7 linked regions of the Oryzias latipes genome follow. The protein of the gene in region 2 purifies or fractionates together with the protein of the main gene of each other region. This does not show direct contact. Links are inferred from orthologs where the notes say so. Each region holds a gene or a part of one and is shown on either strand. Other genes may lie near its edges.

Region 1 (2,881 bases), on a different chromosome or scaffold from region 2:
AGCATTTCTTATATGACTAACAAAAAACAGATTGGCTCTGTGGGTGATGCTTAATGCAAATTATTATGTCTATAAATGTCATTACTGGGTGACCTCATTGTTTCAAAAAATGTCTAAATGAAAAAGAGTTAAGAATGCAGGTTTTTGCATTTGCATTTAACAGTTGCATTACCTTGAGAAACTGTTATAAGTAAGAGAAAACATTGAAAGGTAGCCAGATAGAGAAATTTTTACAAGATGGGTGGTCTGTTCTCAGAGCTACAAATTCAGTTTTGATAAAATGGAAATCTGCTGCACCCTTCCAATGCTATTAGAGGTAACAGAATTCACATTATCTGTTTTATGACTTTTTATCTGAATTTTGATTTTTGCTTTTATCAGTGACTGCAATAAGTAGGGGAGAAGGGCACAAACTTGAAATAAGTGTTAATATTCAGGTTTTTTCTTCTCTTTTGACAGATATATATTCAAAGGTGGAGCTAAGCATCCACAAAACAAATTTACAAGAATGAAACTGCAATATTGAAAGTTTGTGTGACCTATTACTTGTTCAAAAATTGTATTTATTGCAAATAAATTATTTTCTAAACTATTACTTAATATTAGCATCTGTATTCTCTTTTTTGTGCATTATTCAAAGAAGATTCTTACAGCAAAGATACAAAATACATCAGTATACAAACCTCTTTCCTTACACAAAGGTTTCTTGCAGATCCGTATGGTTTCCCTCTCAAACCACTATTTATCCAGGTATACTGGATGGAGAAGATGTCTTTAAAAAGTAAATAGGTATCCCTTGAAAAGGAGATTTGGTCTCAATGGGAATTTTTAATCAACAAAACTCGATCATATAACTCGAACACAGCTTGGTAAATCTAAGCTGGAGTTCCTGAAAAAAATAAGAGGTAAGCGGTTTGTTTAACACAACTGTTTGTAACAGTATGCTAAATACTAAAGTCTTTAATTTAAAGTAACTTTTTAAGTAAATAGTATCCAGTTGTTCCTACATTCTCAAAATGAGTTATTGGAAAAAACACAAACTGCTTAGATAGCTTTTTGCCAAGATATGCAGCTAAAATACAGCGCAACAAACACGTCCCTTTGCTTATTTATTTATGTAAACATCAATAAAGTTCTTAGATTCCATAACACTCACAATCTTTCAAAATTCACACACATATACTGTACATATCAAGGTTATTTCAGTTTATGCCACAAAGTGTATAATCTGGCATGTAGTTGAACACTTAAAAGAAATGATCTTAGGTTTTGGAATTTTCTAGATACCATCAACTCTGCTGCTCAGCTTCAATTATTCACGTGACTTTGGTCAGCGGCTGTGTTAAAACCGCCAAAGGTTTAAACCTGGAGGGAACATTTCCGATTGGTCTGATGTGTCTGCCACATAGCCACTCATAACATGGAGACCAAAGTACTAACCAATCGTTTCCCTTTATCCCACAACCCTTTACGTGATTGGTTCATAGCCTAAACGCTGTAAATCGAAGACGTTGACCAACGTTTCCGGTTTCGTCTCGCTAAACCAATGAAATCGCAGTACTTCCTCTTTGAAAGCCAATCGATGCTTAGGGCGGGACCAAAACGGGGTTTATATCCAGGTCAACGTGGTGCTATTTGGATATCTGTATTGCAGCACTGAAAGACAACGTTTGTGTTTACAAACCGGAGGGAACTTTCTACATCGAATATGTCCGGAAGAGGAAAAACTGGAGCAAAGGCCCGCGCTAAGGCAAAGACCCGCAGCTCACGTGCTGGTCTGCAATTCCCCGTGGGCCGTGTTCACCGTCTACTCCGTAAGGGAAACTACGCCGAGAGAGTAGGTGCCGGAGCCCCGGTTTACCTGGCCGCCGTGCTCGAGTACCTTACCGCTGAGATCCTGGAGTTGGCCGGGAACGCCGCCAGGGACAACAAGAAGACCCGCATCATCCCACGCCATCTTCAGCTGGCCGTTCGCAACGACGAGGAGCTGAACAAGCTGCTTGGCGGCGTGACCATCGCCCAGGGCGGCGTCCTGCCAAACATCCAGGCCGTCCTGCTGCCGAAGAAGACCGGCCAGGCTACACCAAGTTCCGGAAAGGCGGGAAAGAAGTCTTCGCAGTCTCAAGAATATTAGCTTCTAAGCTATCGCCGCTAAAAACCAAAGGCCCTTTTAAGGGCCACTCACTCACTGAAAGAGCACCTTTCCCCTCATGATGTACATATGACCGATGACTGACTTTACTGTATAAACTACCGTAACATGTACTTAGTAAAACGTTACATTCAGGGCTTTTCATTAAACTGAAAATTTGATTGTTCACTCTTGTTTCTTTGTGTTCTTTCCCTACTCAGCAGAAAATTAAACTATATTAAAGGACTTCATAACATTTACATTGCATAAGGTAGTAAACAAACTAAGATGTCGGAACCGGGATAAATTGTGTCCTAAGGTCTGACAAATTCAAATTAACTAAGTTATACTGCAAAATGTAGTTTTGATCTTACAAAACCAGGAGATTTGTCAAAATTGTGATCATAGCATGTCGTAATTAGTAAAACTAAACGAAATGTTCTTCAAAGTCAGGAGGAAACTAATAGATCTGAATCATGATCGACAATTTGTTCCAAACCGGTTTAGTGTTAAAAGTCCAGCAGGAAACTAAACCCTGACTTAGCTTTGGTTGAATTTTAAACTGTTTAAAACCTTATTGAAGATTTCCAATATAGATTTCCATTTAGTTGCATAACAATTGCCAATATCCAGAGTCAGGTATGAAATAATGCATGTAAAAATAACCAAACCATAATGATAAACCAGAATGTTGATCTTCACGACAACTTATTGATCATTTTACACACAGACGCTGTTCTGAACTATGGA
Region 2 (4,269 bases):
GGATCCTATGATGTGCCCTTTGTTCCAGCTTGGTGAGTTGGGCGGAGGAGCAGGGAAAGGTGGAGGTGGAGGAGGCTCTGTGAGGCAGGCAGGAGGTGCTTTTGGAAAGCGAGCGGTGGTGGAGGAGGAGCGGTACTTCAGGTAAGAAATGAAACAGGTTTTCGAGGAAAACTTCATGCCAGCGTTTCCCTTTTTGACAAGTATGGTTTTTGTCTGCAGAAAGAAGGAGATGGAGCTGCTGGAGGTGCTGAGGAGGCATCATTCGGAAGAGATTGAGCACCATAAGAAGGAAATAGAGCGTCTGCAAAAGGAGATCGACCGCCACGTTGGCAAGATTAGAAAACTGAAACATGACGATTGAAGTTTGCGCTCACAACTCTGATAGAAAGGGTGGCAACGTTGAAAACAATGTAAAGATAATTGACTATCTGCTCATTTTGGCAGTTAATGAAGCAAACGATTATCTTTTATATACGTTCCAAAATAAAATGATTGATTTTCTGTTGGTTTATGTTGATTTTCATTTCCCCTGTTTATGCCATCTCAAAATTTAGGGTTCCCGGTTACACCTGGACTCATTTTTTGTTTTTATTTTAAGCCTGTTATGGTGATGATATGGAGAGGTTGTGAACACTTCTGATGGCACAGCTGGAGATACCTGGTCTTATGTGATCTCAGCTGCTAAGCAAAGTCAGATCTGGATAGTCTTTGGATTGTTCTGTAAAGGTACCACAAGCTTATGGGGATGGATACGCTCCATCAGACCAAGAAGGGCATTTGCTGCAAAACTGAAGCCAAAACTTTCACAAAGGTCTGTCATTTCAGGCCTTAGCTCTGTCTGAGGGATTTACCCATTTAAGAAATTCACTCAGACCTTGTAAATACTTTCCTACCTCACTAAACCAAACAGGACAAATGAATAAACCAAATGAAACGAGGAATAATTATTACATGGATTAAATCACATTTTTAAAAGGGCAATATTTCAACTTTAATCGAAATTTACAATCAAACACCCCATCATTTAATCATAAAATAAATTACTAGTACTGGAAAAAATGTAAATATGTTGGTTTCTAAGTTATGGTGAGGAGATTGATTACACTTGTAAAAACAGTTTGATTTCCTTGTAGCCTCTGGAAATTTACACAATTTTAAAGCGGATATTACAAAACATAAAATTGAGAAAAATAAAAAATATTACAGAAAGTCATGTTTCCATTTTGAAGACCCAATGACACGAGCTAGATTTGCAAACCAACGTTGTACCGCAGACTCTCACATCTCGCGATGTTTCCCTCAGTGGCGTTGTTCGGGCGAGCCGAGACGAGACCGCTGCCGTCTGGAAAAAATTTGTCGTGTGGTAGACCTGAACATTCTTGGCATTTAGCATTTTCCCAACGCCCGAAAAAACAAGTGTTTCATATTTTTTCAAACATTTTCCAGCTAGTTTTCTAAATCATCCTGGTAAGTCTTGCTAACTACCCGTTTGTGCCTTTTACGGCGCGCGCGTGTAAAGGTGTCTGGGCTGCACGGCGAGGCCTTCGTGTTAGCCCGTTAGCTAGCTAGGACGTATTCTTGTGTACTGCTAAAATCAACACACATGGACTTTAATACTTCATTTAAACGAGTGGAACTTTTTGGATCTCATTGATGACTGTTTTTTTCTTAAGCTTTTAGAACATTTTGGGCCACGTAGTATTATAAATGAAAGATGTTAGCTATCGATCAGGCGCCATGTGAAGGGGGCGGTACTGTGGAATAAGCCTTTTAAAATGTATGAGCGGGTCGTTTTATTTTGAAAATCAGTAATAAATAACATTGTTTTTTATAATAATACTGACATTTAACGTAACGTTTTCGTTTAAAAAATCTTTGAGTTAAAAGCCAGATATTCCGTAATTTGATAGCTTGTTTCTGGTATGTCAAGTTGACAGTAAATGAAGTAATAAACTAAAACTGTTTTTATTCATGTCTATCTAACAGGAGAATGGCTTCCGCTGAGGTGAATGGTAGTTCGGCCCCAGTAAAGGAAGAAGAGGAGCCTATGGATGTGACTACAACTACAACTCACACTGAAAACTACCAGACCCTCATTGATGCAGGGCTTCCCCAGAAAGTGGCTGAAAATCTAGACAACATTTTCCAAACAGGTGGCTGGTTGTTGTTACCTTCAAAGCTCCAATGTGTTTGTTGTTGATGTGTTCAGTTTAGCTCACTTTGTCATGATGTTTAGGCCTGGTAGCGTATGCAGATCTGGATGAAAGGGCCATTGATGCTCTACGGGAGTTCAATGAGGAGGGAGCTCTAACAGTCCTGCAGCAGTTTAAGGAGAGCGATCTGTCCCATGTGCAGGTATTACACTCAATTATGTGCTCATCAGTACTTTTTTAAACAGTTTTCTAAAGTATCATTTGGTCTGTTTAATTGCAGAATAAAAGTGCGTTTCTTTGTGGAGTTATGAAGACGTATAGGCAGAGAGAAAAACAAGGCAGTAAGGTACAAGAGTCCACTAAAGGCCCAGATGAGGCAAAAATAAAGGTAAACGCTCTTGATTTGCAGTTTTTTTGGGCTAAGTTGAAATGCCAAAATGTTCTCTCAGTTACAAAGCTTTTCCCATTTTTTGATTGTTTACTTTCCAAGGCTCTCTTGGAGCGAACAGGATACACCCTAGATGTCACCACGGGACAAAGAAAGTATGGAGGCCCCCCACCTGAGGAGATGTTCAAAGGCACACATCCAGGGATTGGAACAGAGGTGGGGATTATTTAAAGAAGCATGATTACACATCCTGTTCGTTAAAGATCCACTCCGACCATCTTTTGATCTATTTTCAAAGTGTTCTCACTGGTCTTTTCATATCATTTGAAAAACAATCAAAAACCTGTGCAGTTTTCTAGATTATAGTTTCCGCAGAGCGACAGGAGTTCAGTAGAAATTCACCTGAGTGGACCGTTGCCGTGAAGCGCCCCCGCCCCCCTTTTCCCTTTGCAGAGCAGAGATGACAAATACAATCTTTTTAAATTTGTCTGCTCCTGATTTACATAGATTTGAATAAAGAAATACCCAAAAAATACAAATTTGAGCTAAATTTTCTTCCTCTATTTCAACAGGAAAACGCCACAAGATCAGTTTAAAATCGTTCACATACGCATGCTAAAACGAAATATATATACACACACATATATATATATATATATATATATATATATATATATATATATATATATATATATATATATATATATATATATATATATATAAAGCAGGTAAATAAGAAAGTTGAAAATAAATATGGATAGTTGAATTAGAAGGGAAATTGTTTTAATTTTATATAGAATTGTCATTTTTTTCATGATTGATTTAGTTTTTGTGTTTTGTCTTTCTTTCAGGTGTTTGTAGGAAAAATCCCCAGAGATTTGTATGAAGACGAGCTTGTGCCCCTGTTTGAGTCTGCAGGTCCCATCTGGGACCTGAGGTTAATGATGGACCCCCTTTCTGGTCAAAACAGAGGATACGCTTTCATCACATACTGCAACAAGGACGATGCCCAAAAGGCCGTCAAGCTTGTAAGTCCATTTTAAAATCTCATGGATCCCGTTGGATATAAAAGAAAGTGATTTTGTGGAAGAATAGTTTGAGCAAATGTGTGTTTTCTTCTACTGTGTTTCATTACTTTTCAAGTATTTGCTGTTTTTTGTTTTTTTGTTTTTAGTGTGATAACCACGAAATCCGCCCTGGCAAGTATTTGGGAGTTTGTATATCTGTTGCAAACAACCGGCTGTTTGTTGGATCAATTCCCAAAAACAAGACGAGGGAAAGTATACTGGAAGACTTCGGCAAGGTTACAGGTCTGTTTCAAGTCAATGATTGTATTTGGAGAAACCCTTTCAGTCGGTTGTCTGTCGCTGACGAGTGATGCGGTTTTTCTTTGCAGAGGGTCTTCAGGATGTGATTTTGTACCACCAGCCAGACGATAAGAAGAAGAACCGTGGCTTCTGCTTTCTGGAGTACGAGGACCACAAGTCTGCAGCACAAGCTCGGCGGCGTCTAATGAGTGGGAAGGTGAAGGTTTGGGGCAACCCCGTCACCGTTGAGTGGGCTGACCCTGTAGCTGAACCCGACCCAGAGGTCATGGCAAAGGTGAGCTATTTTCCTGTTCAGAAATGGAAGTACCTGTACCTGTAAAATGATTCTAAGACATACTCTCCTCTGTCATAGGTGAAGGTGCTTTTTGTAAGGAAGCTGGCAACAGCAGTGACTGAGGAG
Region 3 (4,323 bases), on a different chromosome or scaffold from region 2:
GTGCTTATGTACCAAAAACAGTCAAATTTGAACAGTAAAACAACAGCTAAAAATATTTACATTTTAAAGAACACAAATTTGGAATTAGAAAGTGTCATTTTGATAATCATTTAATCTATAGTAAAAGTGTTCCCAGTGATCTTTTAATTATGATTATGCTGTTTTTAGCCTAAATCAAAAAACCTGTGTTGTTTTTCTAGAACATAGTTTCTGCAGACCACCAGTAGTTTTTCAGAAATTCACCTCTGAGTTGTGGACAGAACTGATGAAGTCTTCCCTCATTTCCAGTCATCCATTTGTTACATGCTCTCCCACTAGCTTACAGCCCCTCGCAACCCAACCTAACGTCAGGTTGCAACAACAATGGCAGGCAATATTGGAGCTATCCAGCAGTACAGTTTTAAGCCAGATGCCAGCTCAGACGAGGAAAAGAAAGACGTACACAGATCTAGCCGTCTACAGGTTCATGCGTCAGAATGGAGCAGAGCAGGAAGCTTGTGGCCAGACAACTGTAGCATCAGAGCTACAAGCTTTTTTAGACTGGATTTCTTTTCTATTCCTGATTCACAACTTTGAATAAAGAAATACTCAGAACTGAATTTTCTTTATATATGTCCTCCATCATTAGAAAATTCATTCATCTTCCTCTGTTTATCCCTTTTGGAGTCACGGGGCTGCTGTAGCCTATCCCGGCCACTTATGGGCGAAGGCAGGGGACTCCCTGGACAGGTCGCCAGTCTGTCGCTGGGTCACACATTTCACACACCCACATTCACACCTATGGACAATTTAGAGTGACCTATGAAGCATGTTTTTGGATGGTGGGTGGAAGCTGGAGTCACCGGAGAAAACCCACACATGCACGGGGAGAACATGCAAACTCCACACAGAAAGGTCCCCCATTGATGTTCTGTTTCAGGTCCCCCAGCCGGACTTGAACCAGGGGCCTTCTTGCTGTGAGGCAAGAGCGCTAAACACTACACCACAGTGCAGCCCATCATCATTGGAAAATGCTTAAAGAAAATTTTAAAAACACATAAAAGAAAAGCATGCTTTTCAATGGAGTGGGTCTTTGATAAGAAAAGTTGGGAGATAAAATTCAATAATTCTGCTGCCATGCACAGTGGTGGAAGTGTAGTCATGAGGTGACTAAGTACCAACATTCCAAAGAGAGTTCATAATAAAAGACCAAAGCTGCAAAGGAAATTTCCATTGAAACTGGTATTAAATTTCAACATTAACTGTAGTTTGTCCCGTTTTGTTGCTGAGGCCCAAATTAAGCTGTCATTTAAAAAAGGAAACTTTTTTTCTCTTTTTTAGCAAATAAGTGGACAATATTTCTCTGCAATAATGTATAATGTGTTTGTAAGATAAGTATAGATGTTTTCTTGTGTGACAGTAGCAGATGGCAGGTTTACCAGAAGAGGGAAAAAACCCGCTGCGCCATTTATTCAGTGATTACGGTAGGAGAGAGGCCGTCCTCCTCCCCTCCCCACTCAACCGCCGTTTCAGCGCAGCTCTCCGCCGGCGAAGACTTCTCGGACAGCGGGTGCTATTTTGGCGCAGTTTCCTGTCTATAGGCGTTCAGTTATTTATTTATCGTCGATTTTTTAAAAACTGTTTGTACTCTTGCATTCAAAATGAGCACAATTAACGTGAAAAAGCTGAAAGTGAACGAGCTGAAAGACGAGCTGAAGAAGCGTAATCTGTCGGACAAGGGGCTGAAGGCCGAGCTGATGGACCGCCTGCAGGCCGCGCTCGACGAGGAGGCCCTGGTCGGGGATTCTTCTGCGGCCCAGGAGGGATCGGAGGAGGAAACCCTCGAACAGGCCGCCGAACAGGAGGTGATGGGAGAGGAAGAGGAAGGCGACGGCCCGATAGAAGAGAGCATGGAGGCTAATGAGGAAGAACAGGATAATGATAATGGGGACGAGGGCAATGGCGTAGCGGATGACGAAGACATGGGTGAGGGGGAAGAAGGCGACGAAGACGACGAGATGCTGAAGGGAGATGTGGACGACATGGAAAAAATTGACACGGAGGATGGTGAGCCCGGGGAGCAAGCTGCTGAGGGTGAGTCTGGTGAAGTGATGCTGAAAAGGTGGCTGGCTGAATGGACTGTGGCTGGCTGTTTTTTTTTTTCGGGGGCTGGTTGCGAAGATTTTAGCGCGTTACCAAGGAGCGTCCATGTTGAACACGGCGGCGTGATTCAAGCTAGTTAGCATTAGCAGCTAGCATCGGTCACCTCCTCTTAGTTAATCGTTTTGTAACTCTAATTACGCGTTACCATATTCTCTCAGGCACGTTTTAAAGAGTCGTTTCAAAAACACAATTTAAAGTTTAGTAATAGTTTTAATTAAATTTATATGCCGAGAACCGTCCTTTTTGGTTGACCTTTAAGCTTTTTCTTTCGATTTTGTAAGGTGTGTTAGCTTGTCAGCTAGCGCGATTTCCTTTGTTTCTGGTGTAGTGCTAACAAGCTAATTTAGCAGGGTTAGCCATTTCAGATTTTCCCTTCCTGTTAAGACATAAAGGGGGAATTTGCAAGCCACAAATCTTGTATCTTACTGTCATTTGTACAATCTCACTGGAATTACTTTTGAAACATTTCATTTCCCAGTCTGCACAAATAAAATAAACAGGAGAATATCTGCGATGGCTAACCCCAAATTTAAATAGTGGTAGCTCAGCTGGTTCTGCTGCTTTTGTTTAGCTAGTTTTTTTTGTCGTGGTTTTTCTGTTTAATAAAGGTTCCAAAATCATACAGTGTAACAAATGGGGAGGTAGTTTAAAACCATATCTAAATAGCCTTACTTGCATGATTTATTTATCCCCCTTAAACAGTAAACTTTCCCTTATAAGTTAATCAAACCCCATTGACAATGGTGTATTTTTCAGACTTTTATTTCGCCCCCACAAAGCATCACTCATTTATTTTATAATTTTTGGCCAGTTTATTGTTTAACTACCTGGTCTTAAAAGCTGTCATAACCATTTGATTGTACTGTATTTTCAGTGTAAGTATAGTGCTGCCTCTTTGAACATTCATATGAATTATGATGGACACAATGTAACTAATGAACGGGCTTTGTGGGCCAGAACCCCACTGCTAGTCCGACCTCTCTCTCTGTCTCAAAAAGGAGCACCTCATTCTATATCTTTGTTCTATTTTCAAAGGGGATGCGGACAAAGACACGAATGCTGATCAGAAGAATAAGAAGGGTGTTAAGAGACGCCGGGAGGAACATGGAAGGGGCTACTTTGAATTTATTGAAGAGAACAAATACAGCTGGTAAGGATGGGACAGAGCAAAATGGCCTTCAGCATCCCTGAAGCGCCATCCATAGCTTTGTTGGATTGTATTGGCTTTAAGTGCCAATGCACACATTTCTAGCAAGAGGAAAACCCTCTGTTTTTTTGTTTAAAATAAAAAGTATTCTCTTATTTAATAACTTTCACACATGTGTTTTCAGGGTCATCCCTGACTACCTAAAGAGCCTTACCATTTACTCTACAATGCCCACTCACATAGCGTCTTTAATGGACTGCATTCTGTAGCAGAAGTGCATCTGTGACTTTTCACATCTGTTCCTCATGCCACTTATTGTTTTGTTTCTTTTGGAAAAGCCCGTTGTGTCCTTAAGGTGAATGGAGGCTACTCTAAGCAAAACCCACAGAGGGAAATAGCAGGTGTACACTTTTTCAAAAGGAGGGGTGGGTTGAGGAAAGTAGCCGAGGGGTCTGAAAGAAAGTAGCACACAAGGATTTAGGAGATTTAAAGAAAAAAATCAAGATTATTGGAGCGTCCACGGAGGAGCTTCGGTAGTGATCGTCCATGTTTTTTCGGAGTGTTCTGCCTTTTTGTTGTTGTTTTCTCTCTATCACACTCTTGTTGCTGTTTCTGTATCATGTTTGTGTAAAATGTCATGTTGTGTGCGTTTGGAAGAGTTTTTATACCCCGCGTTCTGTGACCTCATGCATGGCTTGCAAGGGAGTTCCAGTGTGAGTGTGAACATGAACTTACTTTTTTTGGTCACGTGTGTTGTTTTCATTGCACTACCTGGACGCTGAAGATCGATGGGCACAGCATCAAAAATGTTGGCTGTTTTATTTATTTTTAAATTGTGATCACTTATTTCTGGTTGTGTTAATCCAGGAAAGTCACTTCCTGCTTCTCCAAATTGTCCACTTGACGTTTTTAGGGATTTATCAGTTTAATCTTTGCCCATATTTTCCCTTCTAAACAACATAACCTGCTTTCAAAATAATCTAAAATAATTTTTAAGCTTTAAGGACCTTTGTGGTAAAAGTGGGTTTACATCA
Region 4 (4,318 bases), on a different chromosome or scaffold from region 2:
AATGTGCCCTTTGACAAGCAAACATGTTCAGGTTCACAGATCAAACATTTCTGTTACTCCACCCCGACGCCTCCAATAAATGACTCCTCCCCCCTTTAAACGCAACTGTTAGTCCACCGGCGACACATCGAGCAGACCCCCCCCCCCACACACACACACACACACGTCAGACGAGCAGCAGACATGGATCTGGTGAGCAGAGCTCAGTTTGCTGGTCTCCTTACAGAAGCATCAGTGACGAGCAGTGCTCTGATCCACACACACCAACACAGACTGGCTTTGGTGGCCGATGCCTCAGCCGTACTCACAGTGCATGTCTCGCTCGTGCTCATACTCTATGAAGGCGTAGCCGCGGGGCTTCCCTGTTCCCTTGTTGTAGACGATGTAAATCTGAAAAGAAAAACTCCTGGTGAGACTCGGCAGAGCGGAGGCAGCAGACATGCAGTCAGCGCACGACGACACGCACAAAGCGGCGCCAAAACGCTTCACGCACGGCTCTTTACTTTTTTTTATAGTATTTTGAAGAGCCAGGAGAATTTTCTCACATTGTAAAGACAAAAGGGTTCATGTTTTGAAGAAAATCTGGACACAGAAAAATAATAATCAATAGCTACCCGTTTAATGGGGCCATAGACTTCAAACTCACGGCGAAGTTTGGACTCTGTCGTATCATAATTCTGAAACAAAAAGGTTTTAATTACCAGATGTGAACAAGGAGTGAGAAGAACCAAGACAAATACTCACCACTCGTGCCACAAACAGAGTCTTGAAGGCATCCCCCTGAGCATTGGGGTCATTATGGGGGTCCCCTGACATGGAACAAACAGGAAGGATGAGCACAAAGCTTTTCACCGTTTGAGGAGAACGGCGTGAAGAAAGTGACAAACTCACAGAGCTTCAGTTCTGTCTCCACTTCTCCCTGTCGCCTCTCAATCTTCTCTCTCCTCTGGAAACAGAAAAGAAAATGGTGACGGCCAACCGCAGAGCCTCCAACAGCAGAGCATCAGCACAGAGCTGACATAATCCCGCACTTGGTTTCTTGTCTGCTGCCAGCATGCACCTGTGCTGGGCTCCTGCCTGGTATAATATTTCTATAGACTTGAGAGGTTTTCACCGAGGCAGAAAATGCTGAATGAAGGAGTTAGGACTGTAATTCAACTACCCCTCCTTTGAGAATCTGCATTCATTAGGTCTGTGCTTCACAGCCAAACTCCTGCTTCAGTCAATTCACAAGTTCACAAATAAATTTCCTTTATGGCTCAAGACGCTCAACTGAAACGTTACAACCCCAACATAACATTATCTGTGCAACAAAAATGGCGAGCGATAAAGGAGCTATCCAGGCGTTGAGTTTCTCAAACAACAATACTAACAAATGCAATTTTAATCCTAATTTTCTGTATACATGCCTTCCATCGTTATCTACGCAGCACAATCAGAGATCCAAACAGTAACGACTGGTGGACGCTGCAGCACAGACAGGATCAGGTTAGAGGTTTATATAGTAAAGAGATGGTTGAGTGTGCCATGAGAAATTACTCAATTTCACCTATTTGTTCTAAAAAAAAAAACATTTTCCATCGCCAGAATATTAGCTCTACGTTCATCGAAATACGCCCAGGTTTCAGTTGGGAGTACTACAGATCACAGAAGACTTTTACTTCCTATTTAAGACACTTTGATTAAAAAAAATGTCTGCACCACTACTGTGCAGCAACTTAGGCCAATGGCTCTTATTTTGGAAAAAGTTTGTAAAACACCCCCAGTTCCTCACCCTGACAAAATACCAGCTAACAATGGTGGAAGTGTAGCTTCAAGCAGGATCCGGTGTCAGACCGTGTAAAAAGTGCATCCAATAATGAAGCCCGGAGATTTGCATCAGTGTCACAGAGTTTACTACATCTCCCATGATTCATTGGGTTGATGTGACAGAATCTGTGCTACTGCCAGCTGCCATAAAGCAAAACAAACGCAAATATGAAATCTTCTGGATGAAAGCAGAGATAAACCGTTTATTTATCCATCAGGTTCTGTATTTGAGCACATGTGCAAAGGGGGGAGGAAACTCACCTTTCTCTCCAGGCGTTCCTCGCGGGTCTCGGCTCTGGTTGGTGGGGGGGCATCTCTAGGATCCTGGTGGGAAACAGTAGGAAGGTGAGACAGAGGCATCGGGGGGACGGAGGCTCGCACGTGACAGCGACGCTCACCTCGAAGTGTCTGATGAAGGGGGCGATGCCGCTGTACGGCTGGTTGTGATGCTTCTCGTGGGGCAGCTTCTCCAGCTGAGGCAGGAACGGAATCGGGTCCCGGGGGGCGAACAGGGCCAACAGGTTCGGCGGGAGGAACTGCGTCATCTTTCACTTGATCGATAAGGAAAACATGCATGATATCAGACACGGATCTGCCGCAACACAATGAAGCAGCGAAACTAGCTGTCAGGGCAGCTAGCTAGCTAGCTAGCTAGCCGTAATACCCGTACTAGCTAGCTAGCTTCACGCGCTTATTGTTCACTTCCCCACAGGACGGGGGACGCGTTCAACGCATTTCATGCATCCAGAAGTAGAACATCAGGAACCCCCTCCCACAGTAGTACACGTTATGGTCTGCGTACAAGTTAAGAGTTTGGCCGTCCGGAGGCAGCCGGAGGCGTCTGCTCCGCTCGTGGGATGTAGCGCTCCCGTTAGCATGGAGCTAACCACTAACTGCGCCCTTACACTCACCTTCTCTCCTCCAGAGTCCAGCAGCTTTTAGTTCATGGACCTGAAGGAGGAGCGGGACTGTCCGCGGGTTCGGTGGCTCAACGTAGAACCGCCAAAAAGAGACTCCGTGAAGATAAAAATGCTGGAAATGGAGCTGAAAACAACGTGGAGATAGCTGGCTGCGTACTGCGGCTGCTCGGCCTGTTGAAAATATAAAATGGCGGGGGGGACCGCCGCGTGAACGTACGTCTTTTGACGTAACTTACGTGATGACGTCAGGACGCCGTCCAATGAGTTTATTATTGACAATGTGATTTCCATGTGATTTTTCCCATTTTGCTCTGAATTTTATTGAAATAAATATAAGTTTCCTTTGACATTGTTAAAAGTTTATTTTTTTGTTAAAAAAATAAATAACTTGTTAAGTGAGAATCACTATGGGTTTGGTTCTAATAGGTCTACAGGTTTTGCTACAATGAAAGTAGTTGAAGAAATTTCAACAGCAATTGACAAAAAGAAAAATACATTAAAAGTTATCATTGATTTAAAGAAGGAATTTGACACCATAGATCATTCTATCTCGATTTCTAAACTGCATGCGTATGGGGTTAGAGCAATCGCCCACCAGTTATTTACAAAACAGACAATACAGTATGTGCAGTTTGGAGGTAATAAGTCTGATCTCATGAATATTATTTGTGGACTTCCACAAGGTTCAATTATAAATGTTTGGGGTATTTCTAAGTTGTTGCAGTTTGTTTTATTTGGACATGAAGACAAATTTCTCTGTTCAGGGATAATCTAAAACCCTAACTTAAAAGTGTTAAAAAGGAAATGAAACTTAAAATGTGGTTTGATTATAATTAACAAAAACAAAGTTTATGGTATTTGGTAATAAAGAAAAAACAGAAGTGGCTTTATCCATTGACAACATAAATATAGAGCAGGTGTCTGAATTTAAATTTTAGGGGTTATGTTGGATGACAAATGAACATGGAAATCTCATATTTTATGTAAAAAATAAAGTAACCAAGACCCTTTTTGTTTTGAACAAATCCAAGTATATTTTACCATGTCAGAGTGTGCATGTGTTATATTGCTCTTTGGTTTTACCGTACTTTACATTTTGTATTGAAGTGTGGGGGAACACAGATTAAACTAATATAATACCCTTAATTTTATTACAAAAGAGTCTCTGCTTCAGCTGGTCCCAGACCTGCTCTATGGGGTTCAGGTCAAGGGTCATTGCTGGTCAGACCATATGAGCCTAGAGACTGGTTGTGATCATTCTGGCAGCATGTGGTGGAGCGTTATCATCCAAAACTGCAAAACTCTCACACAAAATAACTCAATAGGAGTGAGATTATATGAATTTGCTTTTTCCAACTCCTTTTTTTCCTAGCACTAAATCACTTTCTACTTGACTATTTAGTTAATAATCACTATATTTAAATGTGTCTTAAGTGTGTCTTTGTTTCTGTTTGTTTGTTTGTTTGAATCTATGCAGTTGATTATCTCTGTAAGGAGTTTGATACATCCGTGTGATTTTTCTCTTGTATTGACTACAATTAATACTTGAAAGAAACCAAACCAAATCAATCAATCAACCAACCAACCTA
Region 5 (4,308 bases), on a different chromosome or scaffold from region 2:
CAGTGTTTGAATCTGAAAAGAAAAGACAGAATATGTAAGATGGGGCTTTAGAACAAGACACACTGGTTTCACCGTCTCTGTGACTACAGCAGGTTTCTGCCAGAGCCTCTACAGGCGTTTATGGCTACTCTGCTCAGCGACTGACCACCTCAAAAAACTGGATATGGATAGAGAAAGCGTGGTTTTCTCTCCTGTGAGGTTCCTGTCTACAGCAGTAAACAAAGAGCAGCAAAAATGTGCAATTCTATTTCATACTATTGGTTTTATCAGGACTATAAACAGGACAGATTTTCTGTAGATTCTGTAGATTAAATCTTCGGTTGACACTGAAAAAATAAAAATGAAATAAAAATCTATGGTTTTAAGCTAATAAACCTTACAATGCAGGTCATGTTACAGCTATGTCATTTTATAAGAGAGATCTGGTTTTTTCTTAAATTAAAATCAGATGAGAAGTTTAGAAATTAGACAAGGATTTGGTCATTTGAAGATTTTTGTTTTATAAAAATAAACTGATTTGTTAAAACAAAATTTATTCGTGAGAAAAACAATGGAACATCCCACGTAACAAAATAAAAGGTTTTTGTTGACTTGATTTAAAATATAATTTACATTTGGAGTCCATATTTCGTGCTCCAAATATGAATCACACAGAAGCAAGATTAATATTTCCATAGTTGTTACTCGAAATTTGAACTTCTGATTGTTTATGGAACTTACATAAATGCTGAATTGAATTCATGAAGGAGAAATTGTGAAAAATTTTCATTTATTCATTTATTCATTCATTCATTCGTTCGTTCATTCATTTGTTCATTCATTCATTCGTTCGTTCATTCATTCATTCGTTCATTCATTTGTTCATTCATTCATTCGTTCTTTCATTCATTCATTCATTCATTCATTCATTCGTTCGTTCATTCATTTGTTCATTCATTCATTCGTTCGTTCATTCATTCATTCATTTATTCATTCATTCATTCGTTAATTCATTCATTCATTCATTCATTCATTCATTCATTCATCTTCTTCCGTTTGCTCCCTTTCGGGGTCACGGGGCTGCCAGAACCTATCTCGGCCACTTGTGGGCGAAGGCAGGGGGCACCCTGGACAGGTCGCCAGTCTCTCGCAGGGTTGGAATAATTTTAATAATTTAAATTTGATTACAGCAACAACAACAAAAACTTACACTGATTTTATGAATGTTTATGACACAGTGGCCACTTATAATCCTTGTGGACAATGGGTTGATGTTAACCACAATGTAATTTGAGTAAAGGAAACCAACTAGAGTGACAAAAGACAGAAATCTAGTTCTCATCCCAGTAGAATAAAAAAAATCATCATGCAGAGGGGCGTTGATAAAAAAGGATCAACTCACTGCCAGGAGCTAACAGTTCATTTCACCTCCAGAACAGAGGGTGGCGCTGTTGCGCGGTAGAAGAGTTCAAAGCTTCCGCTGTTGCCGCTTTGCAGGAATCTGCACTGCAGACTTGACTGAGCGGACGGTAGGTGTTGAATGTAGTCGTTGATGTTAGAATGAAAATGTTTGCTTTTTTAATATTTATTTTGCATACGTACTTCGTGTCTTACTGGCGTTAGTTAGTTTAGCCTCAATGCGTCTGTCAACGTTTACACCGGTTGATGAATGAAGCTAACGTTAGCATACTAGCATTTTCGTTGTAGTTGTCTCAGTTGCAACTGATGATTCAATGTGGGATCAATTGGGGAAAAATATTGCATGGAGGATCACATTATTGCTTGATGATAGGAGCTGCACGTGGCTAGCTGAAGTATAAAAACGGTCAAACATTTCCCCCGTGACTTAGTAACGTTAGTGTTGTTATCGTTTCTCCCTGTGTGTGTGTCGGCGCACATATGTTTTTCTGTTTAGGGTTTCTTTTACGACACGCACGCAGGCAGCGGTTTACTGTAGCTTCCTGAACAACACTGTATGTTTTGATGTGACGCCTGCCAGTGATTCTGCGGTTGTTCAGAGCCACCTCTGTGTTTTACAGGCAACACTAAGGGACCAGGGCACACCTGAAGCTCGCAGGTAAAGCCCACGCGGAGCTGGAAGCTCGCCACTATGGCGGACATCAAGAATTTCCTGTACGCCTGGTGTGGAAAGAAAAAGCTGACTCCCAACTACGAAATCCGGGCGGCGGGCAACAAAAACCGGCAGAAGTTCATGTGTGAGGTCGGTCTGCATTCACAGCCAGCTGGTTTGTAACCAGACTCTCCCGTAACGTCTCTGTTTGCTCCTGAAGGTGCGGGTGGATGGCTTCACCTATGTGGGGATGGGAAACTCCACCAGCAAGAAGGATGCTCAGACCAACGCCGCCAGGGACTTTGTCAACTATCTGGTCCGAGTCGGGGAGATGAAGGCTGAAGAGGTTCCAGCTCTGGGGGTCAGAAAGCTTTTTTTTACGCTTTTTTAAAGGAGATGTAAAAACAAAGCAAACCAGAGGAACATCTTTCCAATCAATAGAGCATCCAGCTATGTTCAGGCCAGAACAGAAAACCATTTAGAAAGTCAAGATCCATAAAGACTGGGAGACTGCAAGGATTAGTCAAAAGTTTACCAGTGGGCAGCGAACACTTAACCGGAACTGACGGCCTTTTGTTGTTCTACCCAGGCCGTGGCTCCAGAACCCAACCAGCCCGAAGGACCTCCGGGAAGCTTCGGAACCCTCCCAGCCAGCGGGCCGCTGCCCCCCCACCTGGTGGTGAAGGTGGAGAAAGGTTTGAGCCGAACACACCTAACCTGCTGCTCCCTGACTTCAGTCCTCTTCATCCTGTGGTTTCTGTTTTCAGAGGCTGATGCCTTCATCAATGCACCTCCAGGACAGACTGAACAAGGGTTCCCTCCTAGAGGTGGCAATGGGGGAGGAGGAGGAGGGGCTGAGTGGGACAGAGGAGCCAACCTGAAGGAGTACTACGCCCGGAGGGATGAGCAGGAGGCTCAAGCGGTACTGGAGCCAGCTATGTGCCATGAAGCTGCTTTTCAAGAAGATCCCGGTCCTTTTGAGCTGTGTTGTCACATGTTGCAGTCACATGACTGTGACAACATTAGGCGGCTTCATAACAGGTGGGACTGCTCTGCCTTAGTACCGGTCCCACTAATGCGGCTCTCCTGTTGTAGACGCTGGAATCCGAGGAGGTAGACCTGAATGCAAACTTGCACGGAAACTGGACCCTGGAGAACGCCAAGGCCCGTCTCAACCGGTTCTTCCAGCAGGAGAAGATCACCTCCGAGTACACGTACAGCCAAGTGGGACCCGATCACAACAGGTCTGGATCAGCGCTCCCCTACAAGCCGTCTGACCAGATCCAGCCTGACGAGCCCAGGTCTCTCGTCAGTCTGGATCTGGTCTTTTCTGCTGTTCAGATCTGTCAGGTGGGGGTGGGAGAGTGGGGTATTGACAAATGAACTCTAATTAAAAAGCTGCAGCTTCTCGGGTTGGTAAATGTTTCCTCTGAAAGGGGCCACACTCCTGGGCCCGCCGCTCACTGGTAGCACCTGTGTGTTTTTCTGCCGGACTGCTGCAAACCCAGAGAGCTCCTGCGTGTGCCGGCTACACCGGAGAGCCCTCACAGCCACATGCTCAACTCAAAGCCTGCAGAGCGACACTAGAACTCACGACCACGCTGAGGAAATACATGGGGATGGCGTTTAGGTTCTCTAAAGCCCCCCCATGGGTGCAGCTCCGTGGTCTCTGGTCGTGATTTGTGGTGTTGCTCTTCATTGTAGGCTTTAAAACCTGAAAGTCTGGCAGAAAAACGCCCAGGTTTCTTTCTGAGGACACATCAGGTGAGTCTGCTCCTGAGGGATGCTTGGCTTTAGGCTTTTACTTTGAAAGGCACGGGATGTAACTCTGCCATGTTATTTGTCTGCAGGAGCTTCATAGCAGAGATGCAGCTGTTCGTGAGGAAGCTCGGCAGAAGTAAGTTTTGACATGTCTGTACATGAGACCACAGAGACGGTTCTGTGCTGAGATTCTTTACGCTTATTTTAGCAGAGCCAGTAAATAGAAATTGGTGCTTTCCTTAACAAATAGAAAACCTTTTCTCTTGTGTTTTAAGTATCAGAAAGCTTGTATTTTTTAGCATTTTGAAATTTTTCTTAAAACTAAATGACAAAAGACTAATACCGGCAGAAACCAATTCTTTTAATAAATATGAAACAAACGAATCACCCCTCAAATAGGAATAGTTTACTTTCTCCCGCCCCATTGTGCCTTCAACCCTGTTGAGGTGGATGCAACAAAAACCAATCGATTTTGATTCGTTACTGCTGTGCAGAAT
Region 6 (4,208 bases), on a different chromosome or scaffold from region 2:
TCCGGTCCGGTCCGATACTCGCTGCTTCTCCAGACAGAAAAATCAACACCGATCGAAATCCAAACAGTTACGTTTGACACAACCTGTCCGTGACATGAGCTCGACAACCATTACAAAGCAACAACCAGCTCACATGTTCAGCATCGTCAGTTTAGCCTCCGCGTCGGGAGATGGCGCTGTTGAGTCGTAAAACTTATTTTAGTGGGGAAACCAGAAATTGGTGATGAGTACCAAACTATTGAATTACAAGACGACTACTCACTATAGTGCGTTTGCCATTTTGTCCGCATCTATTCCGAAATCGAATGGCCCAATATTCACATTTAAATTCCAAAATCAAGTGCCCTACAAATTTCCCAGAAGTCTCTGCGAAAAACCAGTGTGCAACACCAGATCGATGCACACTAGATTTTCGAATACAGACCACAATATGTTGCATTAGAACAATTTTTGCAAGAAATAATAAGTATTACCATCTATTTTTGATAAACCACTTACGTTTTTTCATGCTTTTGTCAAATAAAAGTTATAAATTCATAAAAATACAGTTACAAAAACAGATTTCTTGATAAATCAGGTATAAAACTGTTTTTTTGCACATTTTAAAAGCTAAATGTAATATTTTTTTACAACTTTTTGAAGCCTTTGTTTATCATTATATATGAAAATTGTTGAATTATTTTTCACAATTGTACAACTTTCTTCTCACAAATTAGATTTTTCTTCATAACTGTATGACTTTGTTCTCATGTTGTACAAACTAATGCTCCTAACTTTTAACTTTATTTAATAATTGTATGACTTTATTTTCATACATATGTCTTTTTTTCTTCTTTGATGGTGTCCCTGATGCGCCATCATGAGTGTCAGTGTTAGTATGATTTTTGATTTTGATAAAGTTTTTCTTCTGGTTGCTCGTTTGCTGAGCAGTTTTCCTTTCCTTTCATTTCAATTTCAGAATTTTATTTTTGTTTTTGTTGCCTAGCATTTTTAAACAAAACAATCAAATATAGAGTTGGTCATGCTTTTTATTTATTTATGTATGTATGTATTGATTGATTGATTGGTTTCTCCTAAAACCATTTCCATTATTTTGGAGAGAAAAAAAGGTCCAATACTAAAAGTCTTTCATATTTAGATTTAGAACTGTATCTAAAGATTTTTAAGATGAAGATAATTGGATCTTGGAAAATTAGGCTCAAAACTAAAACAACAAATCTCTTTATTTATTTATTAATAAGAGAACAATTCATTTGAATAAAGTCCCTTTTAAAAAATGTAAAATATTCAATTATTTACAAATTACCCTGGTGTTACATCTCCGCTGCAGCAGGTGGCGCTCTGCACTCAAATGCTCACTTGGGATTCGCAGAAGTAGACAAACAAGAAACGACTGGCAAGAAAACTAAAATATCGGATGAAAAAATATCCTTTAAAATTATTAGAACTGAAAGAAAATTATATTTAGAGATCAAGGCGTTTTCTTTATCTATTTAAATTTTGAGATAACTTCGAATAAGTTGAGCTAGCCTCGTCCTGTTTTTGAACATCGGCTTTTGTTATTTGTTATCTGTTAGCAGCTAGCAACTATCTTGGCTGTTAGCTTAAAATAAATCGAATTTTTTTTGGCTCAAAATTACTTTTGATTTTTTTTTTTCCGAAAATCATTTCATTAGAACTAGCATTTGATCTTTTCGAGAAAAAAGTGAAGATGTCTGAGGATTATGAATTTAGCGAAGACCCGAGTATGATGAGGATGGAGGAGGATGGAGAGGCTAACAATGACGACCCCATGTCAGCTCAGGGGGATGGCGGCCTGATGGGGGACGAGGCCGAGGGATCAAGGATCGACGCCAGCAAAAACGAAGAAGATGAAGGGTAAGTTTATCCGCGCGGGGAGCCTTTCATACAAACATACTCCCAGAGAGACTTCTGGGACATACAGCTCGGATGACCGGGAAAGCTCCTGCACGGTTATCCACGGCACTGTTGATCCATGGACGCACATTTGTTGTAGTTATTTTCAAATTGTTTTATATTTGCGGCAACGTTTGGTGAGTTCCAAAAATGTATTGGCGTTTATTTTGATTAGGATTATACCGTTTTAGCTAAATAAAAAAAACCTGTCTTTTTGTAAGACTTAGTTTCTGCAGAGCGGCGGGAGTTTATTAGAAATTCACCTCTAAATTGTGGGCGGGACCATTGGCACAGACCCCCCCCCCCCCCCATCACCCTAACTGAGAGGTCTCTATTCACAAGCCCTCCTGCTAGCTTATGGCTTCTCACAACCCCAAGCTACCATTAGCGGGGCAACAAATTCAGATCCAGATTCCAGCTCAGACGAGGAAAACAAAGCTTTGCAGATGGATCTATTAGTCTGTATGTAAGTGGATGCATTAGAATGGAGAGGAGCAGGGAGGTTGTGGCCCCGCCCAGCGTGTTTTTTCTACATCACAAATATGATCTTTTTCAAACTCTTCGTCTGCCCCTGATGCACAACGATTTGAATAAAGAAATACTCAGAAACACAGTCTAAGCTTAATTTTACCATAAATGTCGTCCATCATCAGAAAAATGCTACAAGAACATGCTAAAAATACCCCAAACACCTTTTTCATTAGTGGGTCTTTGAAGTTCATTTGAAAGTTTCTTTGTTTGTTTCGGGGAGCAGCAATTAACTGTGGCTAAAAAACACAATAGAAAAACATAATTTACATAAAAACATAAATTAAAAAAAAGGAAAAGCTGCCAAATTTGACCCTGTGGGTTCTTCGGGGTCATATAAAAACAAAGAGGCTTTCTTCAGTTCTTTCTGTTTCACTTCTTTCATCACACTGTTCACTCGTTTTATATTTTATGAATGAAAATGCCAGCAGCAACCCGAGGAAAGATTCTTATAGTTAGGACTTGGGTCACAACAAACACAAACTTATACCACGGATCTCCTTCCAAATGTTTTTTTGCTGGCAGGAAGATGTTTGTTGGAGGCCTGAGCTGGGACACCACGAAGAAAGACCTGAAAGATTACTTTGCAAAGTTCGGGGAGGTGGTAGACTGCACATTAAAGCTGGACCCCATGACCGGACGCTCCAGGGGCTTCGGCTTTGTGCTCTTCAAAGACGCCGAAAGTGTGGAAAAGGTTCGATTCTGTTCAATACCTAAATGTTGTTTTTACTGGGGTGGTGTTGAAAAAAACAGTCTGATCTAATCAAATGTCTCTCAGATCAAGGAAATTTTCTTGTAAGCACTGTCTTCTGTTTTGACTTTTTTAAAAAGCAGCTTTTTATTTTTTATTTTTCAAGAATTTCAAACATTCAAGAATTTATTCATAAAACGTTCACCTTTGTTCAGTTTAAATCAACAGATACGTGCAGATTAACTTAACTCATTTAAAAAAAGTTTGTTTCACAACTTTTTTGAAATAAATACATATTTGTTCGAATCACACTGAATTGACAATAAATCAGTGAAGCAGTTTAACATTTAACTGTTTCAGCTCCAAGTTCGTCTTTTATTTTGGAGGCTTAGTCATTTCCTTCATGCGAAAAAAAGCAATAATATTATTTATCAAATAAATTCAGAAGATTTCAGACAAACTCATGAGTGAACACGTCAGCCTTTTGAAATATTTCTTTACGTTTGATGTTGTTATGAGCAGCAGATTTCTGTGGAGACACGCCTCAACATTTTCCTTCTATATTCTGTTTCTAATTATTACATCAGCTTTGATTTTTTTCTTGTTGTTGTTGTGTCATTTAGTGAGTTTTATTTATGTATTTGCTGCTTTCTGTTCTGAAGGTGGCGTCACAGAAGGAACATAAACTCAACGGAAAAGTCATCGACCCTAAAAAAGCCAAGGCCATGAAGAGCAAGGAGCCGGTGAAGAAAGTCTTCGTTGGTGGTTTGTCTCCAGACACCCCAGAGGAGAAGGTCCGAGAGTACTTTGGTGCCTTTGGAGAGGTTCGTGTCGTTTTTTTTTTTACTCAGCTTAAACCAGTTTTTATCCTTTGACACACTTGATTTACTCTTTTTATTTATGAACTTTCAGAAGTTTTGCGTCCAATTTGAGACCTAAAGCGTAACTGCAGACCCTAAACTGTGTAATTCTTCTGTATTTTTCTTTAATTCTCGTCATTAAATGTTGCACTCTCGGCTTCTGTGCTTTTGTGAAAAACGCTCTCAGGGGTTTTCAGGTTTATTTTTTCATT
Region 7 (4,138 bases), on a different chromosome or scaffold from region 2:
TTAATCTAATTCAATGTCCCTGATTTCATTTTCATGTAGATGCAATAATCCTGCAGGAATTAAAAGAACATGGCAGCAGCTAAAAATGAAGTATAAAAACATAATTCAATCAGGTCAAATTTGAGCATGTCATGGAGGTAGGCTTTGTTGACAATATTTGACATATGAAACATCTACATAGCAATACATATCTAATGTTGTTTTCATTGTATATATGTAATTGACTGCAACGAAAAACGGTAACGCTCAAACAAAAACGTATGGGGAAATGCCAAAAAATCGAGTCTAGGTCTCAAAATCCTCGCACGACGTAAATGTAATTCTCTACGAATTAATGCAGCCTCCTCGTCTATTGGGTCCTCCAAAAAAGGACAAGCCATTCTTGTCACTTGTCTCTGTGTGACTGAAATTTGGGCAATGAAGGTTAAAGCGAAAAATACCGCTTCGTCTTTAAAAAGGGGAGGGGACCGGCAGAAACCTTGAGTTTAAAGAATAAAACCTGCTCCCGACCAGGTTAGGTTCACAGCGTAAGTAACTATGGACGCTGACTCCGAGTATAAGTTACCTATCTTTCAGAAACGGGTTTGACTTACTCTGCTTTCTCCGGTTTAACAAACCTCCCATTTTGAAACGGAAAACCCAGGGTTTCCCTGATTTCAGGGTTAACGCACTCAGAGTTTACACTTAACCTCATTTCTGAAACAGGGCCCAGGAAAACATCACGTCATAAAAAATATAAACCATATAACCTCAGACATTAATACAAAACATGTTGGCCCGTACGGGGATCGAACCCGCGACCTTGGCGTTATTAGCACCACGCTCTAACCAACTGAGCTAACCGGCCGTGCGCGTTATTTAAACACAGAGAATAAAATTGTTACGAGGACGACATCTCGGCATATCCATGTTACTATTTACTATTATTATTATTGTTTTTTTTAACCGTCTTAATAGGTAGATTGACCATGTCACTTATCAAAACTAGTTACTTATGTCACATAAAGACATGGGTAGTTTAGTTTACACAAAAAAGAGGACAAAAAAACAACAGAAATAAATAAATGTGTACTTCTTGGATTGGAAACTATCTTTTTACCTGTATTTCGTTTACATTTGAAATGAATGTTTTCTATTGCTACTTTGCGTAAATTTAAATAAATATATTTTTAAAAATGTTGCTGAGTTTTTCTTTTTTCCTTAAAAGTATGAAGTTATTTTTTTTTCTTCACATTAATCGGTGCTGAATTTTCTTGTACGTCTCAATATAATAGAACTTACCGGAAGTTGAATAAACGTCCTGGCGGACAGTTGTGACGACATCATTGTGCGACGTCTCCATTCGAAATATTCTGTGATGTTTGTCCGTTAGCCGCAGTGTTTTTGTATTTTTTGTTATGTTAGTATTAAATTGATGTTTATAATATCTTTTACTCAGGTAAGTTTGCAAAAATAACTACATTTTTAAAAGTAATTTATTGACAGTTAAGCGGAACTTTGCTCGCTTTTATAACTATTTTCAACAACAATACTACTGAATACATGTTTTAAAAAGTCGGACGTACAGCCGTGATTTGGCTTAAGAGCTGTTTTTGCTGAAATTCTATTGTTTTCGCTTTTCAATTTTTTTTTTTTTTTGCTTTACATATGAATGAGATTTGTTTATTGTGTTATGGTTACAAAAATGTCTTGTGTGTAAACCCCAAGACTCAAATGCAGCAAATAAACAATAAACCATAGTAAGATAATTCCTATTATGTGGTTTAGTTTTATTTTTGGAGATTTTTTAAAATCAGGATTTTGGTTTTGTATGAGTGTGTGGGATTCTGTTTTTTAGGATGACTAACACAGACAAGGAGGCAAGTGGAGGCGGTGCTGCCGCTGCACCCAGCGACAAGCTGAAACTTGAGACAGAGAAGAAGAAGAGGTACCGGGTCAAACAGCTGCTGGGAGACGTGAAGAAGCAGGTGGAGTTCTGGTTTGGAGATGCAAACCTCCACAAGGACCGTTTCCTGAAAAAGATTATAGAGGAGTCTGATGATGGATGTAAGGAGCCGTCAAGATGAGGATAGTGTGATTTTTCCAGGGGTTAGGATCTCTAACCTCCGTGTGAATCCCCTTTCAGATGTTGACATATCTGTGTTGACGGGCTTCAATCGAATGAAGAAGCTGACAACGGATCCAAAGCTCATTGCCAGGGCGCTGAAAAATTCCACTCTAGTTGAGGTAAATGTTGTTACTTGGATGCAGGGCTGTGTTTTGTTGACTAATCCAAAGTCACAGAAGACGTAGTAGGTTAAAATCACAAACTCCATGGAAACCAAAACCTCCCAAAAATACAAAACTGGAACAAAAACCAAGCAGCAGACATCAGCATCCAAATGCAGTAAAAATAAAATTCAGAGAAAAAAAGGAATACAATTTAATAATAAAAACAGCGATTAAAAAAAATAATGAAAAGCAAAAAAGGCAAATAAACAGATACATCATCTGAGTTTAATAGCTTTATTACTTTTTAAAGGGAATTAAAGATTAGATTTAAGTATTTTTTATAAAGCAAAAAATTGGGGTGAAGTTAAAAAAACAACCATTAATGAAAAATAAAATTCCTAAAATGATCTAATAATTAACTTAGAATTAAATATGTTTGTCTTTGTATAAAGATCCAAATGGAATAGTATTAGGCAAAAATGAAGTATTTCTTTTTTGTTGTGTTTTTTGAAAGCTAATCATTTAAATCCTGCCAAAAATATTAACCAAATTACAATAATAAAAAAAGATGTTTTAGTATCAGTTTTACACAAAGTTATATTGAATAAATCTAATTCTTCCTTTTTTTTATATCTTTATTGTCATTGTTTTTTCAAAGCTTTAAACAACATCACAACAAAACATTTCAATTCTGGCGTTAAAAGTAATATGTATATATAAAAAATATACACAAAGGAGAAAAAACCTCTATAAGGATTCCACTAAAGTTTGAAGGTTTTTTCTTTTTTTTTAACAATAAATGTAACTCTCTCAAAAGCTAAACGTCGAGGGTGTGTCCATACTCTTCCAATAAATCAAATTCTTAAATATGATTTTGTATAGATATATAAGGAATTGTTTTTAAATGAACTGCTTTTATTTTAAGCATGTAGCAACCGCCCAGTAAGGGCTGTCAAAAGGGAACAGCGAGGGTGGGTGTGATTGGCGCCTGTAGGCCGTTTAACCCCACTCCCAGCCTTATTAGCAGTTCGTTCTAGCTTTGATTTCACTTCGGCCCCTTGAATGAGTTGGGTTTCGTTTTTCTTTTGCGTGTTAGGTTAACCTGGAGGGAAACAAAGTAAGACGTCAACAGCCGCTTGGTGACCCACCCATCAACAGCGACAGCTGCACTGTCTACGTGGTAAAACGACGTCTTCTGTTGTCGCCTTCGCTTGGCTTAAAAACATAATTCAAGCCTTACACATATTTACTGATTTTCTTTCAAATTTTCCAAGGAACTTCTGCCCAAGGATGTTTCCCACAGCTGGATAGAAAGGGTGTTCTCCAAATGCGGGAATGTGACGTATGTGAGCATTCCCAGATACAGGACAACGGGCGACTCCAAGGGTTTTGCCTTTGTTGAATTTGAGAATGAAGAACAAGCGCAGAAAGCAATAGAGGTGAGCTATCCGTGTCACTTTTCCTCTTAAGGAAAGCATTTTTTTTTTCCATCTTAACGTATATTTTATCTCTGAAAACAGATGCTGAACAACCCTCCTGAAGATGCACCCAGGAAGCCTGGGATTTTCCCCAAGACTTTAAATAGGAAGCCGATTCCTGTTACAGGTGAGAGAGTGCTGGTTCAGTGCTATGTCACACATCACTGTATGTTGGCCTGAGCAGCTCATTCAGACTCTGTATATAACAATAAGAAGGTGTTTGTTGGTTCAGCTTGACTGCTTCATTCCAATACCATTGCTTTTTCTCTGTCTGCTCTCCGTTTTCTAACTCATTTATTTAAATCTGTGTCTGCAAACATTGTTTTATGTTTAAGTATCGAATGCAACTGTATGAAAGCTGACACGAAGCTCCTAAACATTCGAGGGCCTTCTTTGTTTTTAAAAGCATTTGTGCTAGACATCTCTTTTTAACAGGTTAAGCCTCAGTT

The links.
Region 1: the proteins of hnrnpr (region 2) and histone H2AX purify together in Homo sapiens (affinity purification with mass spectrometry; 3 studies listed by BioGRID and IntAct, with this or other methods). This does not show direct contact. The link is inferred for Oryzias latipes from reciprocal best matches to the Homo sapiens genes HNRNPR and H2AX.
Region 3: the proteins of hnrnpr (region 2) and hnrnpu purify together in Homo sapiens (affinity purification with mass spectrometry; 3 studies listed by BioGRID and IntAct, with this or other methods). This does not show direct contact. The link is inferred for Oryzias latipes from reciprocal best matches to the Homo sapiens genes HNRNPR and HNRNPU.
Region 4: the proteins of hnrnpr (region 2) and snrnp70 purify together in Homo sapiens (affinity purification with mass spectrometry; 3 studies listed by BioGRID and IntAct, with this or other methods). This does not show direct contact. The link is inferred for Oryzias latipes from reciprocal best matches to the Homo sapiens genes HNRNPR and SNRNP70.
Region 5: the proteins of hnrnpr (region 2) and dhx9 fractionate together in Homo sapiens (co-fractionation; 3 studies listed by BioGRID and IntAct, with this or other methods). This does not show direct contact. The link is inferred for Oryzias latipes from reciprocal best matches to the Homo sapiens genes HNRNPR and DHX9.
Region 6: the proteins of hnrnpr (region 2) and heterogeneous nuclear ribonucleoprotein D0-like purify together in Homo sapiens (affinity purification with mass spectrometry; 4 studies listed by BioGRID and IntAct, with this or other methods). This does not show direct contact. The link is inferred for Oryzias latipes from reciprocal best matches to the Homo sapiens genes HNRNPR and HNRNPD.
Region 7: the proteins of hnrnpr (region 2) and larp7 purify together in Homo sapiens (affinity purification with mass spectrometry; 4 studies listed by BioGRID and IntAct, with this or other methods). This does not show direct contact. The link is inferred for Oryzias latipes from reciprocal best matches to the Homo sapiens genes HNRNPR and LARP7.

Annotation. Positions count from the first base shown.
Region 1 is NC_019872.2:15,233,830-15,236,710, forward strand, and holds histone H2AX, read left to right. Parts: upstream 1-1,609; 5' UTR 1,610-1,708; coding exon 1,709-2,134; 3' UTR 2,135-2,320; downstream 2,321-2,881. UniProt on the Homo sapiens protein: Variant histone H2A which replaces conventional H2A in a subset of nucleosomes. Nucleosomes wrap and compact DNA into chromatin, limiting DNA accessibility to the cellular machineries which require DNA as a template.
Region 2 is NC_019869.2:6,652,138-6,656,406, forward strand, and holds the start of hnrnpr (heterogeneous nuclear ribonucleoprotein R), read left to right. Parts: upstream 1-1,297; 5' UTR 1,298-1,467; intron 1,468-1,986; 5' UTR 1,987-1,990; coding exon 1,991-2,153; intron 2,154-2,236; coding exon 2,237-2,355; intron 2,356-2,433; coding exon 2,434-2,541; intron 2,542-2,643; coding exon 2,644-2,757; intron 2,758-3,392; coding exon 3,393-3,569; intron 3,570-3,715; coding exon 3,716-3,851; intron 3,852-3,937; coding exon 3,938-4,143; intron 4,144-4,221; coding exon 4,222-4,269. Other genes in the region: ATPase inhibitor A, mitochondrial, read left to right, coding at 29-141, 220-361. UniProt on the Homo sapiens protein: Component of ribonucleosomes, which are complexes of at least 20 other different heterogeneous nuclear ribonucleoproteins (hnRNP). hnRNP play an important role in processing of precursor mRNA in the nucleus.
Region 3 is NC_019882.2:13,245,034-13,249,356, reverse strand, and holds the start of hnrnpu (heterogeneous nuclear ribonucleoprotein U), read left to right. Parts: upstream 1-1,478; 5' UTR 1,479-1,640; coding exon 1,641-2,073; intron 2,074-3,177; coding exon 3,178-3,292; intron 3,293-4,323. UniProt on the Homo sapiens protein: DNA- and RNA-binding protein involved in several cellular processes such as nuclear chromatin organization, telomere-length regulation, transcription, mRNA alternative splicing and stability, Xist-mediated transcriptional silencing and mitotic cell progression.
Region 4 is NC_019866.2:24,779,904-24,784,221, reverse strand, and holds the start of snrnp70 (U1 small nuclear ribonucleoprotein 70 kDa), read right to left. Parts: upstream 2,926-4,318; 5' UTR 2,721-2,925; intron 2,361-2,720; 5' UTR 2,355-2,360; coding exon 2,208-2,354; intron 2,134-2,207; coding exon 2,071-2,133; intron 947-2,070; coding exon 892-946; intron 810-891; coding exon 745-809; intron 678-744; coding exon 615-677; intron 391-614; coding exon 309-390; intron 1-308. UniProt on the Homo sapiens protein: Component of the spliceosomal U1 snRNP, which is essential for recognition of the pre-mRNA 5' splice-site and the subsequent assembly of the spliceosome. SNRNP70 binds to the loop I region of U1-snRNA.
Region 5 is NC_019875.2:12,671,734-12,676,041, reverse strand, and holds the start of dhx9 (ATP-dependent RNA helicase A), read left to right. Parts: upstream 1-1,410; 5' UTR 1,411-1,508; intron 1,509-2,018; 5' UTR 2,019-2,089; coding exon 2,090-2,200; intron 2,201-2,270; coding exon 2,271-2,411; intron 2,412-2,639; coding exon 2,640-2,745; intron 2,746-2,817; coding exon 2,818-2,972; intron 2,973-3,145; coding exon 3,146-3,294; intron 3,295-3,754; exon of another isoform or gene 3,755-3,814; intron 3,815-3,900; coding exon 3,901-3,947; intron 3,948-4,308. UniProt on the Homo sapiens protein: Multifunctional ATP-dependent nucleic acid helicase that unwinds DNA and RNA in a 3' to 5' direction and that plays important roles in many processes, such as DNA replication, transcriptional activation, post-transcriptional RNA regulation, mRNA translation and RNA-mediated gene silencing.
Region 6 is NC_019870.2:2,825,274-2,829,481, reverse strand, and holds the start of heterogeneous nuclear ribonucleoprotein D0-like, read left to right. Parts: upstream 1-1,350; 5' UTR 1,351-1,711; coding exon 1,712-1,878; intron 1,879-2,970; coding exon 2,971-3,139; intron 3,140-3,798; coding exon 3,799-3,960; intron 3,961-4,208. UniProt on the Homo sapiens protein: Binds with high affinity to RNA molecules that contain AU-rich elements (AREs) found within the 3'-UTR of many proto-oncogenes and cytokine mRNAs.
Region 7 is NC_019876.2:11,528,876-11,533,013, reverse strand, and holds the start of larp7 (la-related protein 7), read left to right. Parts: upstream 1-1,311; 5' UTR 1,312-1,438; intron 1,439-1,837; 5' UTR 1,838-1,838; coding exon 1,839-2,046; intron 2,047-2,125; coding exon 2,126-2,226; intron 2,227-3,307; coding exon 3,308-3,391; intron 3,392-3,485; coding exon 3,486-3,650; intron 3,651-3,731; coding exon 3,732-3,816; intron 3,817-4,138. UniProt on the Homo sapiens protein: RNA-binding protein that specifically binds distinct small nuclear RNA (snRNAs) and regulates their processing and function.